Linked DNA regions of Oreochromis niloticus. The protein of the gene in region 2 purifies or fractionates together with the protein of the main gene of each other region. This does not show direct contact. Links are inferred from orthologs where the notes say so. Each region holds a gene or a part of one and is shown on either strand. Other genes may lie near its edges.

What was found. The genes of interacting proteins can lie anywhere in the genome.
Region 1: the proteins of cops6 (region 2) and dcaf8 purify together in Homo sapiens (affinity purification with mass spectrometry; 3 studies listed by BioGRID and IntAct, with this or other methods). This does not show direct contact. The link is inferred for Oreochromis niloticus from reciprocal best matches to the Homo sapiens genes COPS6 and DCAF8.
Region 3: the proteins of cops6 (region 2) and klhl18 purify together in Homo sapiens (affinity purification with mass spectrometry; 3 studies listed by BioGRID and IntAct, with this or other methods). This does not show direct contact. The link is inferred for Oreochromis niloticus from reciprocal best matches to the Homo sapiens genes COPS6 and KLHL18.
Region 4: the proteins of cops6 (region 2) and klhl42 purify together in Homo sapiens (affinity purification with mass spectrometry; 3 studies listed by BioGRID and IntAct, with this or other methods). This does not show direct contact. The link is inferred for Oreochromis niloticus from reciprocal best matches to the Homo sapiens genes COPS6 and KLHL42.

The regions. Positions count from the first base shown.
Region 1 is NC_031982.2:23,773,103-23,780,992, forward strand, and holds the start of dcaf8 (DDB1- and CUL4-associated factor 8), read right to left. Parts: upstream 3,012-7,890; 5' UTR 2,757-3,011; intron 2,266-2,756; 5' UTR 2,229-2,265; coding exon 2,192-2,228; intron 2,096-2,191; coding exon 2,000-2,095; intron 1,876-1,999; coding exon 1,214-1,875; intron 689-1,213; coding exon 548-688; intron 465-547; coding exon 370-464; intron 113-369; coding exon 2-112; intron 1-1. Other genes in the region: guanine nucleotide exchange factor VAV3, read left to right, coding at 5,089-5,292. UniProt on the Homo sapiens protein: May function as a substrate receptor for CUL4-DDB1 E3 ubiquitin-protein ligase complex.
Region 2 is NC_031966.2:16,067,116-16,074,774, forward strand, and holds the start of cops6 (COP9 signalosome complex subunit 6), read right to left. Parts: upstream 3,021-7,659; 5' UTR 2,939-3,020; coding exon 2,896-2,938; intron 1,475-2,895; coding exon 1,349-1,474; intron 1,227-1,348; coding exon 1,095-1,226; intron 134-1,094; coding exon 45-133; intron 1-44. Other genes in the region: uncharacterized protein LOC100705850, read left to right, coding at 3,253-3,353, 3,489-3,564, 4,922-5,971. UniProt on the Homo sapiens protein: Component of the COP9 signalosome complex (CSN), a complex involved in various cellular and developmental processes.
Region 3 is NC_031982.2:34,538,913-34,545,946, forward strand, and holds the start of klhl18 (kelch-like protein 18), read left to right. Parts: upstream 1-4,023; 5' UTR 4,024-4,133; coding exon 4,134-4,262; intron 4,263-4,291; exon of another isoform or gene 4,292-4,565; intron 4,566-4,726; exon of another isoform or gene 4,727-4,741; coding exon of another isoform or gene 4,742-4,750; intron 4,751-4,787; exon of another isoform or gene 4,788-4,969; intron 4,970-4,975; exon of another isoform or gene 4,976-5,007; coding exon of another isoform or gene 5,008-5,115; intron 5,116-5,433; coding exon 5,434-5,564; intron 5,565-7,034. Other genes in the region: poly(U)-binding-splicing factor PUF60a, read left to right, coding at 735-849, 1,059-1,297, 1,374-1,673. UniProt on the Homo sapiens protein: Substrate-specific adapter of a BCR (BTB-CUL3-RBX1) E3 ubiquitin-protein ligase complex required for mitotic progression and cytokinesis.
Region 4 is NC_031981.2:17,144,525-17,151,874, forward strand, and holds the start of klhl42 (kelch-like protein 42), read right to left. Parts: upstream 3,012-7,350; 5' UTR 2,590-3,011; coding exon 1,826-2,589; intron 1,753-1,825; coding exon 1,559-1,752; intron 1-1,558. Other genes in the region: UPF0577 protein KIAA1324-like, read left to right, coding at 5,292-5,438. UniProt on the Homo sapiens protein: Substrate-specific adapter of a BCR (BTB-CUL3-RBX1) E3 ubiquitin-protein ligase complex required for mitotic progression and cytokinesis. The BCR(KLHL42) E3 ubiquitin ligase complex mediates the ubiquitination and subsequent degradation of KATNA1.

The DNA of each region.
Region 1 (7,890 bases), on a different chromosome or scaffold from region 2:
CCTTACATACTGATCTCTCCCGCCAACAGCAAAGTGGTGTGTCTTTGCTGGGTTCACAAAGATGGTGTACAGCCCCACTTTTTTATCACCCTCCTTTACAACCACCAGTTTACTACCACAAAAATACAAGGAGACAAAAAAAGAACACCAGTATTACCACTGATCAACCTAAAAATGTTTTATCTGTTTATGTGTTTTGCTCACATGGTGCGCAAGACAGACAGTTTTGTCAATCCACAGCAAGTCTCACTATACACTCACTGTGACAAAACTAGCTGAATGTGAAACTTAGTAGCACTTAGCTGAGAGCCATTGCACAGAATTCAGTTATGTGAATACATAATGATAATAAAAAATCTTGACTCTTACTTGGCAGGGCGGTCTAGACGCAAGTCAATACCAAATACGACAGCATCCTCTCCAGCGGACAGAAAGGAGCAAGGTGAATCTGGCTCAAGGGCCAGCTAAAAAATACAAAACAAAAAATTGATATGATAATAATTCATCTGCCTCTAAGAGTCTTAAACAAAAATCTCCTCTCACAGACCTTGTGTGCAGCGCCTTTATGCTGTGCGACCCGTTTCGTGTTCTTGCAGCGCTGTGTGGCAGAAAGCTCAGCCACTCTGATCTGACCATCACGAGCACACATGGCCAAGGTGGAGTCCCCACTGTGAGGCAGGAACTTTGCCTAAATTAAAGCCAGGGGGAGCCCAATTATGCATTTTATAACCACAATTTAACTTGATTAAATTATGCTTATGAATTAGTCACTTCAATCTGTCTTGTAAGTTTTTGTTTTTTTAATAACAGATTATTATAAAATAATAAAAACAATAAATAAATCATCAAATAGCAATTTACTGCTTGTCTCTAACTCAGTCTTTTTTCCACATTCTACATCTTTATCACTGTTTCTGTGGTAAAATGATTATAGTTTCTTATAAGAAAAAGTCCCAGAAAGCTACTTATTTTGTCTCAACAGATGAAACAATCAAATAAGAGAATATTAAACAACTACTCAATAATTTAAACATTATCTTATGAACTCTTCAAGGAAACTGAAGTTTTTATAACATTAAAAAAAAAATCATATTTTTCCTTCTGCTGTATGGAATACTCTAACTCATTACTATTACTGACATTTATTTGGAAAAAATAACGAAAGGACTAACTAATAATGAACCTCTACTGTAGCCCTATTTTTGTGTTTTACCTGAAAGACATTGCTCTTGTGTCCACTGTCAAACTCCAGTTCAGCACGACGGATGGCCCAGTCCCAGATCACCACACGCAGGTCATCGCTGCCTGATGCCAGGCGTGTGCCCGATGGGTTGAAGTGCAATGTGTTGACACAGCCTGTATGCCTCTCTAATCGGCCTTGGAGCTCCAGCCTTTGCACGAGGCCACGAGCCCCACACACGCGCCTCACAAACTGGTGTGAGTCCCTGCCGATCTCTCTGGAGCGCAGCGAGGGTACTGCCCGCCACACAGGACCACGCATGTCACGGAGCTCTGCCCCGAGCCATGCCTCCATAGCTTCATCATCATCGTCGTCGTCATCATCATCATCGTCGTCTTTCTGTTCTTCTTCATCATCATCATCGTCGTCATCATCATCTGAACTGGAGGAGTGGTTAGTGCCGCCGCCAGGTCTGTTTCTCTTTCTAGCTGCCCTTTTCCCACCATCTTTTTCTTTGGCTTTCTCTCGCCTTCCTCCCTCGCTCTCCCTTTCACCATCCTCAGTTAAAGAGTAGAGGCCGCTGCCGTCCATGCTGTCTGTGTCTTCATCCTCTTCCCCCTCCCTGGTTGTGCCAGTCTCTCCTTCTACATCTGGCATAGATTTGTCTCCAGACGCTTCAGCTGTTTCTTTGGGAGCTATAGAAATAGAAAAGCCCAATATAAGGTTAAAGCAACACATATGTATGTAGATGGTTAGTCATATATGGCAGGAAAAATTCATTATGAAATTTTTCCACCATACTAAAACTATAAGAGTTACCATCTTGAGAGGAAGACTGTGTTTGCCCCTCTTTGTTTCCAGAGGCATCCCCCTCTTTGTGTTGCTCTTCTCCAGGCTCCTGTTCTTCAGAGCCACCTATTAAAACCAAACATTTTCTCTGATGAACTTTGACTGCTGCGGAGTATGACACCGTGCACTGCTGTCATCAGTATATAAATTGACTTGGTTTACCGTTAAGCACCGTGGATTTGCCGTCAGCCTCGGCCATTGTATTTGTGAAGTCCTGCGTCGACCCGAGGGACAACCTTTGAGTGTCGGACACAAAAACAATATTAATGGTGCACTGACAACTACTCAAAATCAGACTGGACAGTTTGTGTGCAATAAACGAGGCGACGCCACAGCTTTCATTTGATAAGCTCTTGACACTATTTGCAATAGGGTACAAGTTACCTGTTAGCCCCGTAGCTTCCAAACTAACAGTCTGGCTAATTTTACAAGCTATACACCGCTGCATGTAACGATATAAACAAACTAAGTCGTTTGTTAGCCGAATCACGGGCCTGTTTTGCTTTGTGATATTTAACTATGCATTGTCCTGTATAAAAGAAGAACTGCTTAACTGCCTGACAGTTATTACCATAAGCTAATGCTACCTAGCAAACTTGAGGCTAACAAATGTCGAAACTAAAACACAGTTTTCTAAGTTGTGCTGCACAACTAACCAGCTACTGGTCAAAATGCAAACAAGCGGCTAGCATTGCTTATACTCGCTAACTAGCACAGCTAGCGTTACCTGTAGTCGAAGGCCCGACGAGGCGTACTTCTTAGTTTAGTCTTAATCTTTATTGCAGATTTATTTGCTCCACCTCGCTACTCAGCAAATGAGCTAAGTGCCTCGACTAGGAACTCTATGACGAAAAACACACGACATGAGGAATGCGTGCATAAAGCTTTTTTGAAAAGTCAGACTATATTGCGAGCTAGCTGCGTTCACATAAGATTGCCTGCTCTGTTTATGTTTTGACGGTTCAGCTTTTTCTTTTTTTTCTAGTTACATTTCCGGTTTCGTGCTCGCATGTTTTTTTTCTACCGGAAGTTTGGTACGCAGAGATTAACCATCGGCATCAACAACGACAGTAATAATAATAATAATAATAATAATAATAATATGAACAAGACGATAAACGCAAAAACTTTTGTTCTGTAGTTGCTGAGATCACTGGGATGGGTCATATTGACTGATTACAATACAAGAAACAGTCAGAATCTTTTCTACAGCACACAAAGAGAAATTATATAAGACTGGAATGCAATACAAGCTAGTGAATGAAAACAAGTTATAGTTCATTTTAACGATTTTTTTTCCCTTGGCAACAGTAATAATAACGATAATAATAATAATACAAATAAGAACACATTAATAATACATAAAATTAGTTTATATTTATTGTAAGTGAACATTTCATTTATTGAACATCAGCAAAGCGCAGATAATTTGCAAAACACTGAAAAGAAATTGCAAATGTTTAATTATTTCATTATTTAATTATTTCATTTAAATGTTTTTCTATCAAACAAAATTTAAAAGTTATTAAGGTCAAGACCAGTTGAAAACAGCAAGAATAACACCGGAGGCTACAAGCTCATATTAATATACAACAAACCAGTAAAAAAAAGAAGACCACCCCCCCGAAAAAAACACTCATTCACCCACTTACTCAATCAGGTGGACATTGTGTAAGAAGTTGAGTCTCAACTGTACACCCCCCCAACCTATAAATTTTTCTCGATTAAACGATAACCTTGAATGACACCATGTCATGATATATGTCATTCTTTAGAGCACAAAACGAAGACTGCAATGATCCAAGTTCAGTTTGATACTAGCACAAGCTTATTCATTCATTTATACAGTTCACCGAGATGCCTTGTGAGGAGACCTCGAAGGAACGACTTTTGAGTGAATGTTGCACAGTTTATCCATATTCATTTTTCCACATAATGTAAATTAGCTTCAATCCATCATGGTAGCCTTAAATTTCCAAGTCTTCGGAGTAGGGGAACTTCAGTGCCAACATGTGGCTGATTGGGACTTTTTAATTTTGGGACTTTTTTTTTTTTATTTTCACCTATAAGACCAAGGTGTATGTGTGCACAAAGCCCGGGCTCACAAATAACACAACTGTCATAATATGATAATTATGTGGAGTAGGCTGTAATCCACAAGGATTTTGAAAAAAAGGTTGTGCGTTTCTGGCGCCCCCTGCAGGTTACTGTATACTCTGGCGTTATCACTGCATAAAAATCGCGACCCTTGATAACTGCACGCATGCTTATTGAGTTCTGACAAATTTCCTACCCACACCTTTGATGAATAATGGAAGCCGCGTCTTTTTATATTGTTGCCTATATCAGTGCACAGCAGTCTGGCCAGTATAGGGCACTGACTGCGGTCGTCTAACTTTTCAAGTGGTGTTTATGGTGACATAAGAACTAAACCTGTTTCCAGTGCCCCTTGCTCTAATTGAAACATGCGAATGATCACTGACAGTGCCTCAAATACAAAGAAACCAGCAACTCTATAAGTAAATATGAATATTTTTTTATCCGTTGCCTGCAACTTCAGTAGAGAAACTATAAAGTTTAAAAAAAGGGTGAAATCAATGTTCTTTCACAGAGATGTGGCGAACATGAGAACATTTCTGCACAGCCTCAGACATATGATTAAACAGTTGTCCATGTGTTAAAGACGCCTTACAAAGACCTAATTTTCCACAGCTTGTTTCGTTAAATTCTGCGCATGACTGTTTCACAAATAAAGGGACATATCTAAGTAAACAAACAAACAAACAAGCAAAATAAGAGACTTAGGAACGCAAAGATTACAAAATAAGGAAGAGGAAGTTCACTCAAACACAGGGGGTTTCAGAACAGCCACCCCCATCGGTGTGCAGCTTTCATAAGTTGTAGCGGCTCGTCTGTCCTCCAGAGGCGATGCTGGAGTTTGAAGAGACATGCGGATGGCTCAGGACGCAGCTTCTTCCCCATGCCGTGCACAGACTTAATAAGCGGACAAAGTTTTTAAATTTGGTATTGGCCTGCGGTTTATTCCGCTCTTCGCCAACATGGAGTATTGGAGGCAATGTGCGATGTGGCTGATCAGCTGCAACGTGCTGCCTGCGAACCACCGGGTAACTGCGGACACGGCGCAGGTGTTCGACCTGGCGCAAACCCTGCGGGACGGGGTGCTGCTGTGCCAGCTGCTCAACAACCTAAGACCCCACACTATCAACCTAAAGGAGATCAATCTCAGGCCACAAATGTCACAGGTACACCCATCATTTTATGCGCTACTTTACGAATTACTTGTAACATTGAGAAAAACTGCAAAAAATATTGTGAAACCAAATTCATGCGTTCACTAGCATGCCATAAGCTAAACCTATAGTGGAGTCCAGGAAAGTCGAGGTTAAGTTTATTTGCCCAATAACCACTGCTAGAGAAGCAAAGTAGTTCCGCTGGTGGAAGAGGACGCCTAATCAAAAATGTGTGAAAGTGGACAAAGACATGTTTGCAGCTCCGTGTTAAGAAGATCAAGCTGTAGCAATTCTAAATAGGGTTCCTAAATACATGGAAGAGAAACGGTGGACGCTTTATTAGGGCGTTTTATATCTTGTTGTTCTGCCTGCAAGGAACTACTGTAATTAGGGTACAGAAGCCTGTTCCAGTTTTCTTAAAGACTTAGGTGAGATCTTCCCTTCAAGTTATTCCATATTTTCAAAATAAAACCGCAAATTCTAAGGATTTCCAGCTTAAAGCGAGCTTTAGATGATTTCCATCTATTACACACAGTTTTATTTGTGTCCTGTCTTATTTGGCTTTGGGTCCAACAGATAAGTGTCACTAAAGCCGTGGAGTGGCCTCTGACAGATAGCTTCACCCATTTCTTTTATTCTGAAGATGATGTTTCACTTTCTGTGTCCTGTTCTAGTGTCTTGTTCTTTTTTTTTCTGGATAGGAGAGAAAGTTCTCTAGCTTGTGTGAAACCTCTCTGGCTTGTGAAACACTAAGAAATCGTCCAAATAGACTTTTCCTTGCTCATGCAGTAACCCTTCAGGAGCTGAAGGCTCTGGAGAGATCTGATAAAATCCTGCCTTTGATCCACCCATTAGTTGGGAAACTCTACATTTGTGCAGCGGCTTGCTGTTTAGTTTGATGGCATATGACATGTGTAATAAGCTAATTTTAAGCTAATTTTTATTTAAATCTCTTGCTTTCCTGACTACAAATCACTGTCTTGGCCAGGAAGAGAGTTAAATAAAATAAAACAAAGCATACCAATTTAATGTTTTAAATCAAAAGTGTGTTCCTTGGTGTAATATGTGTATTTGTAGGTGTGCCTACAAATATAATTAAAGCATGCCTAGGTTACCAATATATTTATACTTTTTCTGTGCTCCTACGTTACTGTAACAGCAGCACTTCCTGTTCAGCAGCATACTCAGGCATGTGATTAGATCTTTCTGCATCTAGTTGAAAGAGTAACGAACGATTAAAGTCAAAGATACTGTTAATCATTCACCATAAAAAGACAGTGACGTGATGCATAGACAAAAAAAATGAACATAAATACATTTTATAATTTGTTAGCTGACATCAAATAGTTAGGCACTGAAAGCAAATTATATACACTTTGGTTGAAATGAGCTGTCACCATGATATAATCATCATGATGATATGTTTTTTGTAGTGATGGATCCGCATGAGTGATTGGGCTCTGTCTCACAAACTGTACCATGTACCCATGTACATGTGCTATGCTTTGCACTGTCTGCTCCATCAGTGTCTATGTGCTTTTCTTTAATATTTTTAAAAGAGAGTTAAAGCAAACCCAGGGCATAACAGGCCAAACAATGGATAGTCATAGCCCGCAGCTGTAGGCCACTTGACGATGGTTGCAAAAGGCATGTGTGTCAGTGGGCTCCATATTTTAAATGGCTCTTTCATTGTCATCTGCTGATGGGCTATCTTCGAAAAATGAAACAAGGGCACTGGTGAACACGACTAAAGTGTACACTGATGAAAAGTCACCCAAGACCCGTGTTGTATGCTGACTTTTGGTACAAATTCAAATAACAATTCACATAGCCATTTTGACTGTCAGTCATGAACAAATATGAACAAATACGCATTGGATACGCAAATACCCACTGCCTCTCTTATTATTTGCTTCCAAAGTTATAAAAAGTAAAAGCTTTTTAAAGTAGCCTAGTTTAAGTTTAACAGGAAGTAAACTTAGCTAAACAAATCACAAACAGACCACATTTAACTGAAAATGAAAAAGGAAAAAAATAAATTTAAAAGTTGTTTAAAAAAAAAAAATCATTTCATTATTGTGGTGCCAGAGTTTCTGGGTGTTACTCTAAATGTGAATAAAAGAATGTGCACCAGGGCTGTGACTGTGTTCAAAAGTATGAGGCTGTTGGTGGTGCAAAGCCATCATGTTCTTGCACTTCCTCCGTAGACAAACAGGGCCCCTGGGGGCGGTGGAGTGATTACAGGCGTCTCCATGATGAGCTGATGTGATAAAAAAGAAGAATATCTGTTCTCAAGAATTTTCTTACTTACTGCTTAAATTATTACACATTCAATTTCTAAATCAGCCATTGCTCAGCAATGTGTTTGACAGGAAAAATGAACCGAGACACTTCTAACAGGTGATCTAACAGTGCTGTATACGTTTTCTTTTTAACTGAAGTGACTCAAACTAGTATCTTGAACTCTAAACCAGAACTTTATGTCCAATGTTTCTGTTGGCTGCCGTCTTCCCACTAAGACAAAGCTCCTGATAGGAAATGACACCAACAGAGGACATATTTGGCGGTTTCATTTCACATTGTAAAACTTTCAATTTTCATTTTCAGTTT
Region 2 (7,659 bases):
ATCGACATCCTGCCACCTGTCAGTGGGCTTCAGTGTCTGCCTACCTGCTTGTGAATGTGGATATCTGACTGGTCTGGAGGACCACCTGTGGTGTACCAGCCCAGAAACTCCATGTCTTTGAAGACCTGTTTGACTGAGAGACCAGAGGACAATGTAAGGACAAAAATGATCTGATGACTTGACTTACTAATAAATACATATCTGAGAGGGGCTTGGAGAACATAATCATCAATGAACTCTCTCATAGTTACATGAAAACTGAAGAGTTTTTTTTTTTTTTTTGCTTTGCTCATGCTCCGCTTTATTCAAGGTTACAGCAGTTAACTAAAGCGAACTAAAACAATATAGTGAACCTACAAAACAAACTACAGGTTTAAGTCTTTGTCATTTTAATAAAACGTGATAAAAAACTAAATAAATAAAAACTCTGCTTTATGAGGCTTTTCTGCAAACTCTTACAGAGTCTGCACGACTGTGAGTCAACTGCCTTCATAAAGAGTTGTGTTTTTATTATAAGGCCTGTTCTGATTTTCTGGAAATTAACAGCAACTTAACCGACTTGAAAACAAAATTACAAAATCCAAAATAAGAGGCAGAGAATGAGAGTTTTGGTAGTTTTTATGTAATTTTGACCAAAAGACTTGTGTGTAAATCATTTACTTATGGCTCAAGAACTGGATCCAATGCTGCCATCTCTTGGTCAAGTGTTAGAAACCTCCCTTCACATGTTTTACTCCTTGCCCATCCAGACATATTAACAATGTATCGGTACTCTTTGGGAACTGAAACGCCAAAACTACAGAGTCCCATTCTGGCCTTCAAGACTTATCAATTGTTGTATTGTTTATTGTTCTTTGTGTGAGAAAGTCAGAACACAGATACAAAATGTCTCAATTTAATAAAGCAGGCAAGGACAAAACTAAAGTCTAGAAAAACACATCCAACAAGCTGATGTGTGAACTGATCTCCTGAATGATGATTATACCGGTGTTACTAATTTTAGCACAACTCCAGCTACCGAACAACTGAGTCATCAAAGAAGATGCACACACAAATATGTGCATTATTGTCCTTAAGACTTGATGAAAACTTACACTGTTCCTCCTTGGTGTAGTAGTACTCCTTGTCAATGTGCACTTTGTCGTCTATGGTGTGAGACAGCAACTCAAAGGAGTTCATCACCTCAATGTTTCTACCCTCCTGTTTCCCAATCAGAGCTCCAATCACTGAGCAGAGAGACAAACACAACAGCATATGTTTATCTTTAACTTAGACTTTTATTCCAATGCACGTAAGCTCAAAATATATAAATATGTGATTGGATAATGTGTTGTTTTTTCACACATACCCTGCATTGGTCGGCCCTCCTGCGAGCGGATGCGTATCCAGTGATCGGATATGTTTAGGATAACCAGAGGGTGTAAGGCCACAGAAACACTCCCAGTGACCCCTGAGGCCATAACACTGGGGCTGGCTACAGTCATACAAAGACACAAATAAGATTGGGATTAACAGTATGTCAATGACAATATAAAAAAGTCAAAAAACTTGTTAACTGGAAGCACTTTATCAAATTCAAACAATTACTGGAAAGCCAGACAAAGGGATCATTCCATTTCAAATCACCATGGGTTTTCTGCTCAACCATCTTAGAATTTTATGGTCCCAAGCTGTAAAATTTTACCTTCGTATGATATCAATGAAAATGTGTCGATGGACCATTTTTGAAAAGAATACATCTTGAAAAGTATTTGATATATGAAGCTAAAATTTCACAGCAATAAATATGTATCCAATCTGTGGACCATTGCCTTTTTAGGCAAATCTGAGATAGTTGTGCAAAAGGGCAACAGTGATTTGAGATTAAATGAACCAGGTACAAGTGGAAATACTTCTTCAAATCCAAATAATTACTGAAAAAATAGGAAAAAAAGGAACAGTGATCAACCAAAAGTGATTAATATGCTCCTATCACATTAACTGGAAAGTTAATGAACAATGGATCAGTCCTGTTTCGGTATACGTCTAATCAAACTGCATGTATATGTGAAACACAAGAAAATAAGCAGAGACACATCAATAGCCGTAAATCAGTATGAACCCAAAACAATCAATAACGTATAACCAATGCATAACAGACAAAATAATAAGAGAAATTATTTACACTCAGATTGTAGCTGATGACAATGATCTATGTCACTTAGCTTCAGAGCCAAGCAACAGTGCATACACAGTTTTCTTTACATTCAAAATAAGTGACTGGATATATCCTTTTGGCATTAATCATCTGTTTAGTTTGGCACAAAAGATCAGTCTCATGATCGTTCCTAAAAAGTTATATAGCATATGCAATCATAAAACGAGTTCCACAGTTTCCCAACAGGACACCTGAGCAGGTAGATCAGTCAGTGAGTGCCCAATGACACAGTTTATAAAATTAATAAAACGCGACTTTCTCGACTCTGAGTGGTCGCCCTATGCTCGCTACATACAGTCATTTTAATGTATGTGTAACTAATCACACAGATATAGGCCTGCATGTCGGTTCCCCTCATGTACAGCTAATGTTTACGTGGTTGGTGTTGCAGCACTGCCACAGCATTTTAATCAAACTACACATGATGTTAGATTTTACTTCGAATTTCTGATGCAAACTCCTGTGGCAGAGCAGAGGGGACTGCCTCAAACATCCACAGTGATGAATGTACTGACAGCTTCACAGAGCTGAGTACGTTAACCTGCTTATGTCAGCGAGCAAGCTCCTTACGACCCCTTAACACCACGGAGTCGTCACTTCCGCTCACTTATAACACACAAAAACAACATATACGGCAACCTGCACGCAGGTTTTGGTTGATGTGGACAGAAACGATGAGATGAGGGATAAATACTCGCCTGCCCCATCCACTTCCATTCCTCCACCATTGCTGGTCGCCATCTTGTCCGGTAATCCGCGCAGGCGCAGTGGACTGTTGATGCAAAGGACGTTAAGTGGCTCTTCGTGGGGCTCTTTTTTAAAACAAAACGTGCCGCATATTCACGGTCATAAACCTGACGGGTTTATAGAAACATAGGCTGTCTGGGTCGGGGAATGTTGTGTTGAGCTTAAAGTAGCTGATTTGATTTCTGCCCAGCGGCCGCTCGGTCACACAGTCAGTGGACCGGTGTTTCCGGGGGATTGCTGATTCGGGCGCAACCCGTGTGCGTCCATGTACCATTCCGTGTGTGAGGTTTGAGAGTTTTGTTTACAAAATGGATGAATTCTGGGGCTGCAATCTGGACTACTTTCCCGAAAACATTTTAATCGATGTGTTGTCTTACCTGAACGTACGAGAGGTCGTCAGAGCCGGGAGGTAAGGGGATTTCAACTTTGCTCTCAAGGATTTACTAGTTATTCGTCGTTTAAAACAAAACTCAGGTTTTCGTTTGTTTTGTCTTTTGTTATGTGATTTGTGTATATGTTTATATATTTTAAATTGTGGTTTTAGAGTATGTAAGAGGTGGAAACGCCTTGTTAAAGACCAAAGACTGTGGAGAAATGTCGACCTGACTTCATGGAAAGGGGTAAGGATGTTGTTGCCAGTGTGGCTTCATAATTTTTCGTTTCTGCTGTTAATGCAGGCCAGCCATTTTTAGTAATCTAGTCTGTTACTTGGGGATAATAAAAGAAACAAACCCATAGCGATAACTTCTGCTTTTTCTTTTTCTTTTTCTTTTTTTATAAAGATGAAAGACTAGGAGCTGTTGACTCATGTTTTAATATATCCCCTCACATAAAATCAGCACTGGTTTCATCTGTGTCATCAAATAAAAATACAACACCCGGATTTTCCTGTCTCAAAACGGGCCCACTTATACAGTTGTGCTGAGAAATTTATATGAATGAATGCCACAGGAATTTGGGTCTGTGTAGGTTCTCATGGTAATCCAAGGAGCTTGGAAATAAAAGGGACTGGACTGCTTTAAGTTTCTTGAAGACATTTCACCTCTCATTCGAGAAGCTTCTTCAGTTCTAAGACCAAACGACCGTCTTAAGGGACAACTCCCACTAGAGCTTAAATACCTGGGACTTTCCACCATTTGGTCTTAGAACTTAAGAAGCTTCTTGGGTGAGAGGTGAAATGTCTTCAAGAAACTTAAAGAAGTCCAGCCATTTTTCTTTCCAAGCTCTTTACATAGAAATTTGGGGCTTTTCATAATTTCTTTGAACTGTTCTTTGTCCAGGGTGGAATAATTGTACAGAACGCATCTTTAATGCCTTTAAAGAGGAAAAACTAGATGCACAAGTTTGAATCAAATATACACATACAACCCCAACTAATATTTAGTTAATATAAATATTGGTTGCAATTCAGTTAGATACTTTCGGTAGCCATCGACAAGCTTCTGGTGCAACAGTGGCTGCATATTTGACCACTGTTCTTTGCAGAATTGGTCGAGTTCATTTAAATTGGTTGGTTTCCTGGCACAGAGCCAGCTTTTAAACATAGTCTACAAATTTTCAGTACGATTGATGTTGAAGCTTTGGGAAAGCTATTTCAGGAGCTTAATATTAGCCTGCTTTAGTTTTGACATGTCTTTGTTTCAACAACCTAGCTGCTGATTTGAGTCTTAGGCCATCTATTGACAGTTTCTGAGCTGTTACTAGTTATTCTTAACAGCCGTCTACTAATATTTTCTCCTGGCGAGTATGTGTTTTTCTATTGTGTGTGTATTTTAGTTTCTTTGATAGTAAATAAAATTGTCTATTGCTTTTTAAAGCCCCTTGTAAAGCAAATGCTTTTGTGTGTAAAATATGCTCTAAAAATAAACTGTGAGCATCTTTTGATAACATATGGGTTGTGTGTTTGTGCAGTTATTGACAGTTATTGTTTCTCTCTCTCAACACACACATATTCATGGACTGTCCACTGTGTGTTAGGTGACATCCCGCATCCTTTGGGTCCTGCTGCGTCAGTACCTGGGTTGCGGACTAAGGTGCCTTCGCTTGCGTGGTTTGCTGCTGTCCGCACGTGGCGGAACCTTTCTCTCTGAGTCTTGGCTTAAAGCTTTGTCCACAAAATGCCCTCGACTGAGTAAACTCTATCTTCTGCATGCAGACCTGAGAAGCCTGCCCAGTTGCCAGATCCTACCTCCATCTTTGCAGGTGCTGGAGCTGCGGGGTTGCGAGCTGCCTCGTGGCTTCTTCAATCAGACCCTGCCTACTTCATCAGCTAGTCTCCAAGAAAGAGCAGAACCCACATCCAGTGTTGGTTCTCAACTGAAAGGAAGGAACCAGAAAGGAAAAGGGGCTGGCTCTCCTTCAGGGATTGGTATTGAGAGGTTAGTCCTTAACAATGTGCCCTCTTTTACAGACCAGCACCTGCAGGGTCTGACATCATGGGAGAGGCTCTGTCGTCTAGAGCTACGTGACACCTTTCGCGTAACAGCTAATGGGCTTAGAAGCTGTGCTGCCAAAGATGGTGTCTGTGGTGTAGAAGGGCTTTCCAGGCTCAAGTTTCTGGAAATAGGCATTACAGGGCGGCAGGGCTACCAGTTACATATGGCCTCCCTTGGCTTGGGGGCTGGCTGGCTTGGACTGGAGGAGCTAAGTCTTGGTGGAAAAGAGGTGGGTCCAGGTTTGCTCTGCGCCAGCCGCCTGAGAGACCTGAAACGTCTGCGCCTGTGGGACTGCACACTCAGCGAGCTGCAGATAGCCCGGAGTTGCAGGATGCTCCGTGGACTTCGCCAGCTGGAGTTTGTGGACGTCAGGTTCCAGCCTCGTCAGAATCCACCAGCAGAGGAGGGGGAGGGTGGTGAGGAAGAAGAGCAGGACAGAGAAGAAGCTGCAGGTGCAGATGGCAGCAGCGATGAGAACAAGACGGCAGATATGAACGATCCTATTCCAGGTCTGCGTCGCACACTGGCTGTCCTGCTGCCATCCTGCACACTGGTGTTTACCAACTGCTCTGTTCAGAATAATGAAGATTGAATGAAGCTATATGCTGCTATATACAAGCAACCCACATGGGATTTTAAAAATAAAATAAAAACAACAAAAAACAAAACGGTTACATAGGCTTTCAGATCATGTTGACATAAGTAGAGCCGGATTCAGAATGCTTTGTCAACTTTTTCTGACAATGCCACAATAAGTCCATAAATAAATAAAAATAATTTTAAAAGTCTACTCACAATGATCCATGTTTATAGTATTTTTTTAGGCTTTTAGAATGAAGTAACAAAAAACCGAAAAGCTGTACACAGTAATGTATTCAAATGTATTAGGGGATTATTGAGCGATAAAATAAAATAAAAATAGTATGTATAAAAATAAATGACTTCCTCAATATAATTACCTTTGAGGGCTTTAGAGGAGGATTGCAGGTTTCAGCAGTGCAAGAACAACAATAAATGTTTTGGCCCTTTATTTAGGTTTTTACAGTATTATGTTCAAAATGTTACTTGTCTCGATTAAAGCTGACTTAGAAGTAGGAGATATATTGTGATATGGTGTTTTCTGAAAAATCTAATTGGTAACAGTTGCCTAAAACTTCCAATCTGAATTGTCTGTCGTTGACAAATCGGATTACTTCATCACATTGATGCAAACATCATGAAAAACATCTTTCTCATCAGTTTGAAAGGTTGCCTCATAAGCTGAGGCTACTACATTACGAAAGTTAAGAAAAAACATCTGTCATCATAGACACAAATTATATTGTCTTAAGGGATATTTCATGATCTCCTACAATACTCAGTGTCTTTGAGGTAAGTCAGTGGGAAGTCTCTCCTTTTTAGTGCTTAGAAACGATATGAAATAAAATGCAGAACAGTTGCTGTTAGACTGTAAACAGATAAGCAGGTGTCAGCAACAAAGACAAACAAGTCATGATCCACCTGTTTCCTGTTCTTTACCACTTCTCAACAACATATACTGTCAGAGAACATATATTTTACTCTGTTTGGTTGGGTGATGCACAGGATATCGTTGGGCTTTGCATATGTGATTTGTAGAAACTGAGAACAAAAAAGAACCGCTCATCCTGAATGTGTGTATATTGTCTCAATTTTAGGAAAAAACATGTAAGATCTGTGTCATCACACCGAAGTGTGTTGCATTTAAAGCAACCATTCAATGAAGGTTCATCTTGTAAAGAACAAATTTTTCTGAATAAAGCTATTTTGATAAAGTAAACCCAGAATTTGTGCTTGAATACAAATACAGTATGTCAACTGCACCTTTAAAGATGACTGATCAGTTTGTCATGAAACTGCACGTCTCATTTTTCAAGGTCAAATGCTACATTTTGTCTGGTCTTCTCTTACGTAGGTTATTTCTTGTTAGCTTAAGCTTCAGAAAATTGTCACGGGTCATTTCTCTTGTTTTGAGTGTTGGAGTGGCCAGTAACGGTTTTTGGAAAGCGGAAAAACAAGAATTTAAATGAGTAAGTATTAATCCTACACAAGTAGCTTAATGGTACACAAACCGTATAATCAAAATTAAAAGCATCTTAATTAAAAGTAGTTATGGGATTAAAAGTTTGGATTCATGAATTTATATATGATATACAGTATATTTTGCAACTGGAAATCATTTTATTATTTATATGCTACATAACAAATAATTTAACACCTACATACTGTTGAGTTCAAATTTGTCCAGTGTGAACATTTCAG
Region 3 (7,034 bases), on a different chromosome or scaffold from region 2:
TTCTCTGGTTCGGTCTTGTTTTTATCATTTAAGAAATGTGGCTAAGCTAAGCCCGATTTTATCTCGCTCTGAACTGGAGATTGCTATACATGCATTTATTTCCTCACACTTGGATTATTGTAACTCGCTGTTTGTGTCTAAGCAAAGGTTCTCTGGATCGTCTGCAGGTTGTGAAAAACGCTGCAGCTAGGCTTTTGACTAAATCCTCCAAGTAGTCTCATGTGACACCGTTGCTATGTCAGCTACACTGGCTTCCTGTTAAATATAGAGTCCATTTTAAGATCCTGGTCTCGACTTACAGAGCTGTGAATGGACTGGCACCAGCCTACATCTCTGATCTGCTACAGCCCGATGTCCCCAGCAGGTCCCTGAGGTCATCTGATCTGGGCTTACTTGCTATAAAAAATACTAAGTGGAGAACTAAGGGTGATGGAGCTTTTGCCACTGTGGCCTCTGGGTTGTGGAACTCTCTCCCCCAAACATTAAGAACTGTGGACTCAGGAGTTGTTTTTAAAAAACAACTCAAAACTCACATTTATAAACCTGCTTTTGGTTAATTTTTGCCAGTTTTATATTGTCTGTTTTACCTTTTTATTATTTGTTATCTTATGTGAAGCACTTTGTGACTCTGTCTAGAAAGGTGCAATATAAATAAAATTTTATTTATTTATTATTTAGTACAGGATTGTAGTATTTGAGACAGGTGTACTGATGATGTTCTGTGGCGCGTTCAGGAGGCGGTGGGAGCATCGGTGCTTGGAGCTCTGGCCGGACCGGCGCTCCTGTCCCAGCAGCTCGGAGGCCTCCCTCAGGCTGTCATGGCCCACCAGGCTCCAGGTGTCATCACAGGTAGGAACACCTGAGCCCTGTCCACACACATACACATACACACACACACACACACACAGGCTCCACCCACACGACATCTCATCTTGAGTTTGGGGCAGTCTGCTCCGCCCACACGTCTCACCGCTCTTTATTTTGAAAGCAGGCTCATTCAAAAATGCTAACCAATCAAAGGTGCTCCAACAGGTATCACTTCCTGCTTCCTGTTTCAGGTGTGACCCCAGTGAGACCTGGCGTGCCTCAGGTGGGCTTGGTGAACCCTGTGCTGGCCACGCCGCCAACACAGACGGTTTCCTTTGGTGCTGATCCAAAGAAGAAAGAGGAGGAGGAGCGTCAGCAGGAGGTGCAGCAGGACGGCGCCATGGAGCCGCTGAGCGAGCAGGAGCACATGAGCATCAGCGGCAGCAGCGCCCGACACATGGTGATGAGGAAGCTGCTGCGCAAGCAGGAGGTACGCTTCAGTCCCGCCCACCCCTAACGGCGAATCGCTGGTTCTCTTGGTCGTGACCTGTCGTGTCTCCTTTCAGTCCACCGTCATGGTTTTGAGGAACATGGTCGGCCCCGACGACATCGATGACGACCTCGAGGGCGAGGTCACCGAGGAATGCGGGAAGTTCGGCCAGGTGAAGCGAGTCATTATCTATCAGGAGCGTCAGGGCGAGGAGGACGACGCCGAAGTCATCGTCAAGATCTTTGTGGAGTTCTCAGAAGCCGCCGAGATGAACCGAGCCATCCAGGCACTGAACCACCGCTGGTTCGGCGGCAGGAAGGTGGTCGCCGAGGTTTATGACCAGGAACGGTTCGACAACGGGGACCTGTCGGCATAGAGCACGCTCGTCGGGGAGCGTAGCATAGCGGGCTCTTTCTAACCTGTCTGTTTTTCATCGGTGTTTGTCTCCAGGGAAACGTCTCCGCGTCCTCTGCTCCAGTGTTTCTGTGCAGGGTCAAAGGACGAACCAGCTGCTTCTCATGTTTCAGCTGCTCGCTGCCTCGCCGTTTCTTACAGCCACTGCTTTCCTAACATGATATCCTTCGTTTCCATGGTAACAGAAACGGGACACAGAGGGCGTAAGGTAAAATGTACCATGAGCTCTGTGCTAATGTTTAGAGCTCATCTGATTTACATGGTCTGATATCAATTTGTCAGTAGTTTCAATTGAGTGATGTCACGCTCTACTCCACCCACTGTAGACGGTGCCTGTGGAGCCGCCCTGCTGGACAAACTGTGTAATGATGAGTTTCATTTACTGAATTTTTTTTTAAAAACGGATTTTGGATTGGCGCGATTAGAAACGTTGTCGATCGCGTTCTACTAACTGCCACGACCATTCTACTTAGAACGCTGGGCAGGGCAGCGGCGCCAACGCCCTGAGAGCGAGGCGTAAAGATGAGGCCGTGACGCTTTGGTTTGAAACACACAAAAAATCACCAGCAGGAAGGAAAAACTGGACCTGACGTCCAGGAACCAGGATCCACAGATCAGTAAGTCGATCAGTAACTTCCTGTCTGGGTTCTGACCCAGTTACACGGCCGCGGTGCCTTCAGGGACCTTCTGTACAATGGTGAGCCGGCCGGAGCTGAAACATGAAGCAACTGTGGACCAGATGTGACGTCACCTGTGTTCTTCCAGATGTTCAGCCTTTTGTTCGCAGCCTCACAACAGAAACACCTGGAGTCTAACAAACTGACTAAACCTGAACGCACCACAGCATCATCCACTCTCAGGCCGTCTCCCGCTTGTCCCAAGGAGTCACATGATCCTGGTCTCTGAGCGACTTTGAGCCTCAGAGGCAGTGCTGCGTTCAGGTGCTCTTCAGGGTTTGAAGGTCAAACACCGAAACTTGTGAATAAAACTTCTTTTTTTTCTGCTGTTTTGTTTGTGTGAAGCTGCTCTCTGATTGGTCGGCAGTTTGAGTACAAAAATCTGTTTGATAATAAAAGAAAATAGAAAGCAGACGAGGTGTTTGAGTACAGGAAGTAATCAGCTGTCTACTGAACGTTCAGGAAACACCTGAGCTCACCTTCATTCACTCTGGAGGAAGAATCATGGGCACGGCCAAAGCCTGCATTCTGTCTGAAGGCCACCAGGGGGCAATAGCTGTGGTAAGGCAGCTTTCTGACCTTTGACCTGTGTAAAAATATCCTGCTGAGGTTGTGGGCTCAGTTTTAGGTCACACTGGATTTCAAAGTGGTGAAGCTGCATGCTCATTGGCTAATGGCCAGGAACCTGCTCACTCCAACCACTCGACAGGTTGCAGTCCAGGGCGTTAGTCAGTGAGCATGTGGGTTCACAATCAGGCCCGCCCCTCCTTGCCACCTTCAGGTTTTTGCAGCCAAAGTGGCGACCGTGGAAGCACCCATCATCAGGTGACATCCCTGAGGCCAGACTGTATAAGAGACTGTAACATTACTTGCTGCCATGTTTGTTTCCGGTGGTGACCATATTTGGAGGACAGGGTGGAGTTGTCAGCCAGTTGTCTACTAGCTAGCTAGCTTAGCATACACATACACCTTATCAGTAACATCCAATCAGAATCCTTACATGGTCACAGCAGCAATCTTATTGGTCAGATAATGTCATCAAACACAGTTCAGAGGTCTAGCTCAGAGACTCCAGTTAGCTGAGGTGAAATCTAGCACCTACAGCGAGTTTTGTCACCATCTACCTGTCAGTCAGAGGCCACACCCCTATCAATGCAAACAGGTGAGTTAAAAATGTGTTCTTCTCCCTTCTGTTGAATCCAGTCATTGTTGCAGTTATGAAGGGGAAATTATCTACAAAGGCCAAAACATTTGAATTTTAACACAGGAGTCTATGAGGACTGACTCAGTGCTCCCTCTGCTGAATGCTGGAGGAACTGCAGGCTCGGATGGTTTCAGCGGGCTCAAGATCGGTTTGTTAGTTTACTCTCTGATGTGTTCAGGCTGTTTATCTCTCAGCCAATCAGCTTTCACTAAATAACTACGCTGTTGTGCTCCCAATCACGGCTGCAGGTCACCAATCATAAAGTCATTATTCATGACATCATATCAGATGTCACTGCAGTCACGTGAGCTCATCTGATGCTCCTCAGGGCCAACACCTGATACATTCATTAAATCCTGACAAAAACAAACATTAAGGCCTAATAAATGAGCAATCACTCATCAATAACTACAAATGAAAGGCTTTAGAAGCTTTTATTTTGAAGTTTAATCTCAGCAGAAGTGCTCCCTCTTATTGTGAAAGCGGCTTTGACGCTGGGTACGGCGGCTCGCAGGGTCCAGTCCGCGCGCTCCCGCTGACGATGGGCGACGTCCTGTGCGAAGAGCTCGAGGATTTGGTCCACTTCTCAGTGCACGACCTGCCGGCACGAGGTTTTGTCGTCATGGAGGAGATCCGACGTCAGGGGAAACTCTGTGACGTCACGCTCAAGGTGAGCGAGGCGGCGTGTGAGGCTGACATTAGCCTCCAAGCTAGCAAAGTGAGCTAAGGCATGCTAACAAGCTAACGCGGATTATCAGATAGTGACGTCATGGGCTGACCTGTGAACTGCCTGGGAGCCCCACAGGCAAGGCGGCGAAGCGGCTTCCGGTTAGAGCGGTCAGCTCTTAACACCGGGGCTGGAGGTCAGGTGTGTGATCCACCTGGGGAAAGGTAGAGGTTGTGTGACGTGCGCAGGTGAGCTCAGGCAGCACAGAAGGGGCGGAGCCTTTTAGCAGCGTTCTGGCGTGTGCAGGTGAGCAGACACGTGATTGCTCTTTGTTCCAAACATGTCCGCCAGGTGAGGGAGGGGCGGGACCTTAACTCTAACCCCTACAGCAGGAAGAAGCTCTCGGTGGCTCCACCCCTCCCCATCAGGGCCTGGCTCTATGGTAGCAGTTAACAGAGCTGGGTGCTCATTGTCAGCATCACATGATCCAGGTGTGCTTCTGAGCTGTTCAGAGGTGTTCAGGTGCGACTGAGAAACATTTTCACCTGTGCTGCGTCCTGTGCCTGCAGCTCAGCATTGATCCTCTTAACGGCTCAGTAGGCAAGGTGCTGAGTCTGCAGCTCAGGTGAACCCACGTCAGAGGCAGCTGTTTTCCAGAACTAATGGTGTCCTCCGGATAAAGCAGCACATCCTCACCTGTCCACTTTCAGGTGACCTGCAGAAGTTTATAGGAAGTCAGACCGATTCAATGATGCAGGCAGACTTGGCTGGTTGGATGAAGGACTTTGATTGGTTGCGCGTTAAGCTGAAGCTAGTGGAAACATCATCGATGGCGCCAGCTGGTCAGCTGACAGAGTTAAGCTGAACCCTGAAATCTACTTCCTGTTGAAACGCTTGTGTTTCAGAGGGTGAAGGAACGCAGCTTTACCTTCATGTAATGATGTCTGCCGTCATCATCTTGTTGTTTTACCTGATAAGTGAGGGGTGGGGCTTAATGTGAAGCCATAGTCTTATTGGCTGTCTAGCGAGGAGTGGTTCTGTGAATGTTTAAGGGCAGTAAATCCAACACTTCCTGTGACACATCCCTCAGATGTAGCTGTTTTCAGTTTTTTATTGTCGTCATAGCAACAGGTGAGTCACAGGTGAGTCTGTTAATCAGCGTGTCTGTCTGCAGGTTGGGGATCACAAGTTCAGCGCTCACCGGATCGTGTTGGCGGCCTCCATCCCGTACTTCCACGCCATGTTCACCAACGACATGGTGGAGTGTAAACAGGATGAGATCCTGATGCAGGGCATGGACCCCAGGTACGCTCACACCTGTACAGATGTCTGAGAGCAGAATTGTAACTGGCTTGTGACCTCGGCAGAGGTGGGACAACCTCAGTAACATCAATGTCTCACTGTTTTCCACTAAAAGCTTCCAAATGTTGCTTTAACACGGACTCGGCCTGATATCAGCTGTGGTGACGGTCATGATTACAGTTAGCTTGAATTTAACTTTTTAACAGTGTTTCCTGAAAACCCTCTGCTGTCTGATCATTTCCTGATAACATTTACATTTACAATAATTGATTACACAGCAGTGGAGAGTAGACTTTATCACAGTAGATGTCTTTCTGAAAGTGCTGTAACTAAGTTTAAGAATATAATCCACCCACTGTTATCATCTTCAATGCCCTGTACCAACATAGAGCAGAGCAGCTATCTGAACGCTACTCCAACAGAGGTCGATTATCTTGTTAATAATTTTACCTCCTCACTACGTACGACTCTGGATACTGTAGCTCCTGTGAAAACTAAGGCCTCAAATCAGAAGTACCTGACTCCGTGGTATAATTCTCAAACACGTAGCCTAAAGCAGATAACTCGTAAGCTGGAGAGGAAATGGCGTGTCACAAATTTAGAGGATCATCATTTAGCCTGGAGAAATAGTTTGCTGCTTTATAAGAAAGCCCTCCGCAAAGCCAGAACATCTTACTATTCGTCACTGATTGAAGAAAATAAGAACAACCCCAGGTTTCTCTTCAGCACTGTAGCCAGGCTGACAAACAGTCAGAGCTCTACTGAGCCAACCATCCCTTTAACGTTAACTAGTAATGACTTCATGAACTTCTTCACAAATAAAATTCTTATCATTAGAGAAAAAATTACCAATAATCATCCCACAGATGTAATATTATCTACAGCTACTTTTAGTACCATCGATGTTAAGTTAGACTCTTTTTCTCCAATTGATCTTTCTGAGTTAACTTCAATAATTACTTCCTCCAAACCATCAACGTGTCTTTTAGACCCCATTCCTACAAAACTGCTCAAAGAAGTCCTGCCATTAATTAATTCTTCGATCTTAAATATGATCAACCTATCTCTAATAATCGGCTATGTACCACAGGCCTTCAAGCTGGCCGTAGTTAAACCTTTACTCAAAAAGCATCTCTAGACCCAGCTGTCTTAGCTAATTATAGGCCAATCTCCAACCTTCCTTTCATATCAAACATCCTTGAAAGAGTAGTTGTCAAACAGCTAACAGATCATCTGCAGAGGAATGGCTTATTTGAAGAGTTTCAGTCAGGTTTCAGAGCTCATCACAGCACAGAAACAGCTTTAGTGAAGGTTGCAAATGATCTTCTTATGGCCTCTGACAGTGGACTCATCTCTGTGCTTGTCCTGCTAGACCTCAGTGCAGCGTTCGATACTGTTGACCATAATATCCTATTAGAGCGATTAGAACATGCTGTAGGTATTACAGGTACTGCACTGCAGTGGTTTGTATCA
Region 4 (7,350 bases), on a different chromosome or scaffold from region 2:
AAACTTCTGGTGGGTGCAGCAAAGCCTGCGTCTCTAGCAGCCAGCAGGGGGCAGATTGTTAAATTGTACAGAAGTGCATGAGAAAAGGTCCTCGGCTCCCTCTTAGTATGAACTCAGTAAACACTTTGCTGATGAGTTTATGGCTGCAAAGCACATTATGTTTGTTTTGTAAACTGTGGTCCCATTAGAGTCAAAAAGGAGGGTGAAGCTGGATGTTTCAGACTTTGTTATGAACAAATCACCATAAGAAGCTGCAGTGTGGAAACGCGATCAGATTTGGATAATCCCAAATCTTTTATAGTGAGGAACGGAAAACAAAGAAAGGGATGGATACACTTCTGTTTGTGCTGTTGTCTTGTACAGCACTGTGACAGTGTTACAATAAAGCATTAACGGTATGTAAAACATCTACTTCAAACTGTCAACAGCGACAAAACAACACAAGGACAACGTGACAAACACCACAGCCAACTGAGAGGAGGTGCAACAATACAACAAAAGTAAATCTGAATTCACACAAAGTCATTTTCGGTTTAACTCACTTTTTACTTAGTCACCTCACAGTATAAGGAAAAGACACTATCCTGGGTATCTGTGTTCTGTTTGTTCCTCTTCTCTCGCTTCCCTTATTTTAAGCCTACTTTTTTCCCCTTGTGACGATTAAACTTAACAAAACAGACATCTTGATGTTTTCAGTAAAACGTGCCTGCCTTGATATAAGCGTTCCAGTTACCTGACACTAAAAGTAAAAAACAGATGATCCCTTATGAGCAGCACATGGCGACAGCAGGGAGGAAGAACTCCCTTTACCAGGAAGTCTTCTCCAACAGAATCACTGTGAGGTGCAGCCATCTGTTGAGACTAACCGCAGGCTAAAGATACCATACCGCCATCAGGGAAGTTTTTACTCTGTGGAATTAAGTTATGTTTTTTCCCTTCATTTCTCAGAGGCTTTTTGGAGGAGTTATAACTACAGTGCCATGAAAAAGTAGTAGTCAGGACTGGGTGTGGCTAAGTGAAACTGAACTCAGTTTTCTAAAAAATGCGGTTAATCACAATTAATCTATGATTTAACATAGATAACATAGTTAACATATTTACTTTTTCACACAGGGCAGGTAGATTTGGATAACTTTTTTCTCTTAATAAATGAAATTATCTTTTAAAGACTGCATTTTGTATTTACTCAGGTTATCTTTGTCTATCATGTCTATTAAAACTTATTTGATGATCTAAAACATGACAGATATGTAAAAATCTATGTATTTTAAATACCACAGTTGAAGTGTATAAATCATCCTTGTGTAGGACTCACACTGTGGTTTCTGCTGTGAAATGATTCATGTCACCTTTAACCTCCAAATGTGGGCCTTTTTTGCTCCTTAAAAAATAAAAAGTAAACTATTCATCTGGTGTGCATGGACACAAGTCAGTGCAGGTCAAAGTTCATGTCAAGGAGAAAGAATCACTAGATGAAAATTCACAGTTACTCTCCAAACTGTTGTCGGACTGTGTTGGCGTGTTAGTGTATATGTTACTGTAGCTCCTGTACACACACCTCTCGCAGTGTATCCACCCATGACGTAGATCATACCCTGGCACTCACAGGCAGAGAACTCAGCCAGCGGGTCGGGCATCGAGGAGACGCAGGTCCACCAGTCCTGCTCAGGGCTGTAACACTCCACTGTGCCCAGACACTGGCCTCCCACAGCGTACAGCTTTCCCTGTACGGCCAGCAGCTTGAAGTTGGACCTGCACGAGAAGAATCAGTGATTGAAACGCGATGGCAAACAACCAATAAGGACCAAGAGGGGACTTGTGTTACCTCTTCTGGTTGAGCGGCGCCACCTGGTTCCACTCATTCCTGCAGGGGTTGTAGCAGTGCACAGCGGAGATCTCCTGACTCGTCATCCTGTACCCGCCGACTATGAACAAGTAGTTATCGAGGATGGCCGACCCATACCCCCTGACGTTGATCATATCTGGAGGGAGGTTATTGGCGAGGGGCTTCCAGCGCTGATCCACCTCTCCATACCTCAGCATGGACCAGGGCTCATCCTGATCCGGCACATCCAGGGACAGGCTGGTGAAGTCTCCGATGGCCACCAGGGTGGCAGTGCCATTCATGCGCATCTCCTTGACTTGGTCCCTGACAGCAGAGGCCAGGCTGCTGAACTCAGGCCGCCTCAGCATGGGGTGGTAGTAGCAGGTCATGTATTTGAGGCAGGCGGTACGCAGGTCGTGAGTCCCATACACCTCGGAGAGGCTATACAGCTCCACGCAGTTCTCCAGCCGGATCTCCGAAGTGAGGAGCTTAAGGATGGAGGTGACCTGGAGGAAGGAGGCGGTCTCGATCAGGTCCTCCAGAGTCTCGTTGACTACCTGGACTTTGGAGGTGTTGATGAACTCCAGGACCAGCTCCAATCCAAGGACGCTGAGCCCCTGCAGCTGCACCGAGTCCTCCGTGGACTCCCTCATCCCCGAGCTGTACAGAGCTCGGAAGTAGTCACTCTTCTCGATCAGCTTCTTTTTATTCACTTCGTAGGTTTTGTCATCCATGATGATGGCGATGATCTGCTCGGATGACATGGTGAAGATGGTGGTTTTGGTCTCTCAGGCTGAGTTTTGTCTTTGCTTTCCCTTTCTCAGTCTCCCGAGCCCGTGGCCGTTTACATTTCACCGGCCAGGGAGCTCCGTGCCCGGTCTATATATGGTAATGTTCAGCCCGTAGATCGCCATGGAGCTGGGAAGCTAATCAGCTAGCTGCAGAGGCGCTGCTACCGCTCCCGGATAAACCGGCCAAAAGAAGCTTTTCCCCGCGATGGCATTCCTCCACAACTAGGCCCCACTTTCTGAGAATGTTGGTTGAATATCGCGGTTTGTTTCTCAGCCTGCCAGGAAGGTTTTCATAACATTTTACGAGCCTTGTGAGGGACAATGTCGAGCTGTCAAATTTAACTGTTTTGATTCTGCACCCCACATCATATGCGTCTTCTTCTTCCATTGGAATTATCGGCAGATTAGGCGTATCAAAGACACCTTACTGCCCCCAGCAGGTCATTAGTAGAATTACATAACATGGTTTAAATTAATGATAAGTTGAATGTTTGATCAACTTTTTGATTAGGCTATTGATTGTTGTTATTGTTTATTCATTTATTTCTAATTACTTGTTTTATTTACTTTGGCTAATTTTGATTAGTTAGTCGTTAATATTTATTTAGGTTTTTTTAATTAAATAAAATTTAATTTGGGGTTTTGTAAGAGATGCTATTGGCTATGGTCACCTCAGCTTGACCATAATTTCTTCATATTTTGGTTCCAAGGAGCCAGACTTTCTTGTCATTTTTAAAGTGGACTTGAGCAACAGTTCTCCAGGATTTCTGAATATCTTTTATCTAAGTTTTTCTTTGGACATTGGCTGATTTTTTAATCATTTTCAGTCCAGTTCTTGTACCTATTTACAGAAGAATGATTTCCACTTATTAGGTCATTTAACACTAACCCTTGAGTCCATGAAGCACTAAAAAAAAACAACAATGCTGTGTCTTGCAATAATACATATATGACAAACATAACATAACAAAACAAAATGTAAAATAAATATTATAAAGTATATAAACAAAGTAACGGTACCTTGGAGTTGTGTCACTGGCGTTGCTGATTAAGAAAAGCCTTTTATTTTGAAGGAAAACACCGCGGTGCCGACATCTAATGACTTCCTGTAACATGTTTCCTGCAGCTCTGCAAAAAAATTGGTCTAGTGAGTCCAGTATCTCTTTTCATTTTTCAGACCTTTTTTTTTATAGCATAATTTCATATGAAGCTTTTAGTTGAAGTTGTTAGGGAACTGAAAAAGAAAGAAGAAAGAAATTTTGTGAGAAAAACAAGACTGACAACATGTGGTTTGATGCCCTGTAGCTGCCATTTTAGAAAAAAAAATTAATAGAAGTTGTCACTGGTATCACCTTGATTATGAATCACAACAGACCTGTTACAACTAACTAACACCACTGTTAACCATTAACAGAAAAAAAAACTTAATCGAAAGCTCTTCATGAAGTTTTAAAATAATAATAATTACTATTAGTAGTAGTAGTAGTAGTAGTAATATTATTAGTATTATTAATCCTGTGTCTAAATCAATTCCACCCAATCCCTGGGTGGTTTATTGTGTCACTGATGTTACTGTGCTTTGGGGTTTGGGGAATTTTTTTTCCATTGTCACAGCAAATGAACTCTGCCAAACTGTACAAGATCCATTGATTTCTGTTACACTTAAGGGTCAACATCAAAAGGATTGTGACACTACTCACTATAACAGTTGCATAGCAAATAAATGGCTTCACAAATGAACAAACACTGTGCAATCACACTTAACAAATGAAAATAAGAAAACATAATCCCCTGATTTGTTGCATTATGAGTATTCTTATGCAAGTCCGACTACATGTGCTGAAGAGACTGAGGAAATAATATTTATCAAAAGCCTTTTATATTGCAGAAGGAGTGAGGTAACACCATCCAGTCTGTAAGTTGATGTACAAAAAGAGATTAAAAATCATTAATCTGTCTTTTTTGTGAATATTAAAGTGAACATGTTATGTTATAACATGATCTATGTGTAAACATTAGAAAAATAAATCAATTTTAGGACATTTCACCATCGCCAATTCGGAGTTTATGTAGAATGACCCATAAATACAGACAGTTCAGTTTTAAAAATGTTGAATCCTTGTTACACGGTGCTTTATTTTTAGGTATAACTAGTTATTGTAATGCTGCAGAGAGAAAATTACAAACTAAATAAATGTTTAGAAAATATTTTTACATTTATTGTATTTTAAATTATAAACTTTTTTCCATCAGATGCAGATCTCATTATTCACATTAATGATTAACTCTCTTCACTAACTAATATTCAGAGACATTTATTTTAAGATCTTACACAGTTTTTACTGAGAAAAAGGACACCGGTGCACTGCATAGATTTTTAATTAAAAATAATAATAATAACCACACATTGTAAAACCCTGGAGAATAAACACAGGACAAAGGTGTTGTGATAAAAATTGAGGTTCATAGGACGTAACAAGACAGCTTTAATTTGAAAACCTGTACCGGAAACGATTTTTATTATCAGCCTGTTGACGCTGTTGTGGGTGGAGGAGGGGAGAATAGGTGAGACAAGCAGGCGGGAGCATCAATGATAGGGACTCTTCTCGTGCGGCCCGCTTCGTGTTTGCGGCTCCAGGCAGCGGACACCCGGCGCTCTGTGACCCGGACTGAGGATGAGGGAGCAAGCGTGGGCCTCCCGGTCCGCACGCTGCAGCTTTTTACTCAGCATCGCCACCACCACCACCACCATCATCATCATCATCATCGCCGCTCATACATCATCAGTTAAAGGCGCCGGAGACCTGCGGCCGTGTAATAAGGTAAGCGCCTGTGCTGTCATCGTTATTATAATTATAATATCTGCTGCTTTTTAAAAACACAGATCCCGCTCCGCTTTGCTTTTTCTTTATCCTAGAATAAATGATCAGGGCAACAAGTCAAAATGGCCATGCATGCAGGAGTAAATGTGCAGAATAGATTAAGATAAAATAAAATAAAATAAAATAAAGAAAAGAAAAGAAGGATTAAAAAAACAAAAATAAATAAAAACAATGTAAGGGCTCCAAGTCGTTTTGCTGCTTTACATTGGCTCGGCTCAGCTCGGGTCTGGATCTATGCGCGCCTCGTCCTTCACGTCGCTGATCGGCTTAAAATGCCGTTCATGTTGACTATAAACACCCAGCTGGAATCCTTCTCTCATCCCCTTCTGAGCAGCCTCATGCCGGCCAGCCCGACCGGGATTACTCGCTGAGGAGGACAGAGAAAGGCTGCTGGCACGGTTCGCTCTCTCAAGCCTGTAAGGATGACTTGAAGGAATAGAAAAAGAACCTTTTTGCCCTCTAGATCAGCGGTCCCCAACCTTTTTTGCGCCACGGACCGGTTTATGCCCGACAATATTTTCACGGACCGGCAATGAGGTGTCGCGGATGAATACAACAAAATAAAACTAGTGCCGGTACCGAAAAAAAGAAGATTTATTCATAACACACGTGAAAAGACCCAAGAAAACCGAGTTAACGATAAAAACGATAACAAAATAACGTTGAAAACCGATAAAAACCCTGAAAACCATACGTTTCACACCTGAGCCTCAACTCTCGCGGCCCGGTACCAAACGACTCACGGACCGGTACCGGTCCGAGGCCCGGGGGTTGGGGACCGCTGCTCTAGATGGTGAGATTTTCATGCGAGGACTGATACTCTGTAAATGAAAAAATAGCTTTATTCTTATGGTCACTAGGGGGCGACAGCTGTGGTTGAAAATCGAAGTCCGGTTATGAAGAAATGTGTGATCCGGCAAACACTTTTAGCGATTATTTATGGACTCATTTGCTAGTTTTTAGTAATACTGAACAGATCGAACACTAAAAGTGCTTTATATTGTGAGATAAGTATCCTGCCATATTAAAGAGAGAATGATGAGCCTGTGGGCAAGGACATGGTGAAAGAGGGGAGGAAGAACTTTCTTTTAGCAGGAACAGACCACAGCAAAATGTTAGCATTCAAAATATCTTAAAAATATGTCATACCAGGATAAATATGTATCCTTATCACTGAAGATTAGACTCTGTATAACATATATATGACAACAAAAATTTCATATGGGTTAACAAAAACAAGTTTATTTAGTTTGTTAAATCAAAGTGACTTATTTAATATCCTTCTCTGTGAATACACTCCTGCATTTTATGACGTCCTGCCTTCACCTGGTCCAGAGAAAAGCTGCTAGTTATGAACCACTTGAGTATTTAAAACAGAAAACAAAAATAAAAAAGTTAATAAAGTGCATGCAATCCTAGCTAACATTATCCTGTTAGATAGTTAACTAAGTTATCAGTTACTGCAAACACTGTGGCAGTCACAACTCCATATAATGTCAGACAATATAAATAAACTATAAATGTTCTGAAAGCTAAAAAAAGTACAATTAAAATAGGAAATAACAACTACTGATCATTAACCGGATCACTGTGCATGTAAATTGAAGCACAATTCAACTGTGCTATTACTTTTGAGGTCACAAATTAAGTTTAATGGCCACTTACTATCATTTCCTATTGAAATGCACAATACAAGAGGGTTAGTGAACCTTTCATCTAACTCTTGGCAAAAATAATAGAAGCAAATGTCTCTAAATGGTAAATAAAAATGTTCCACATCTTAATATAACTCAATAACTAAAAAACTCAGCATCATTTCTCGTCAGAGTTTGAATTCTGGGTAATAAAATAG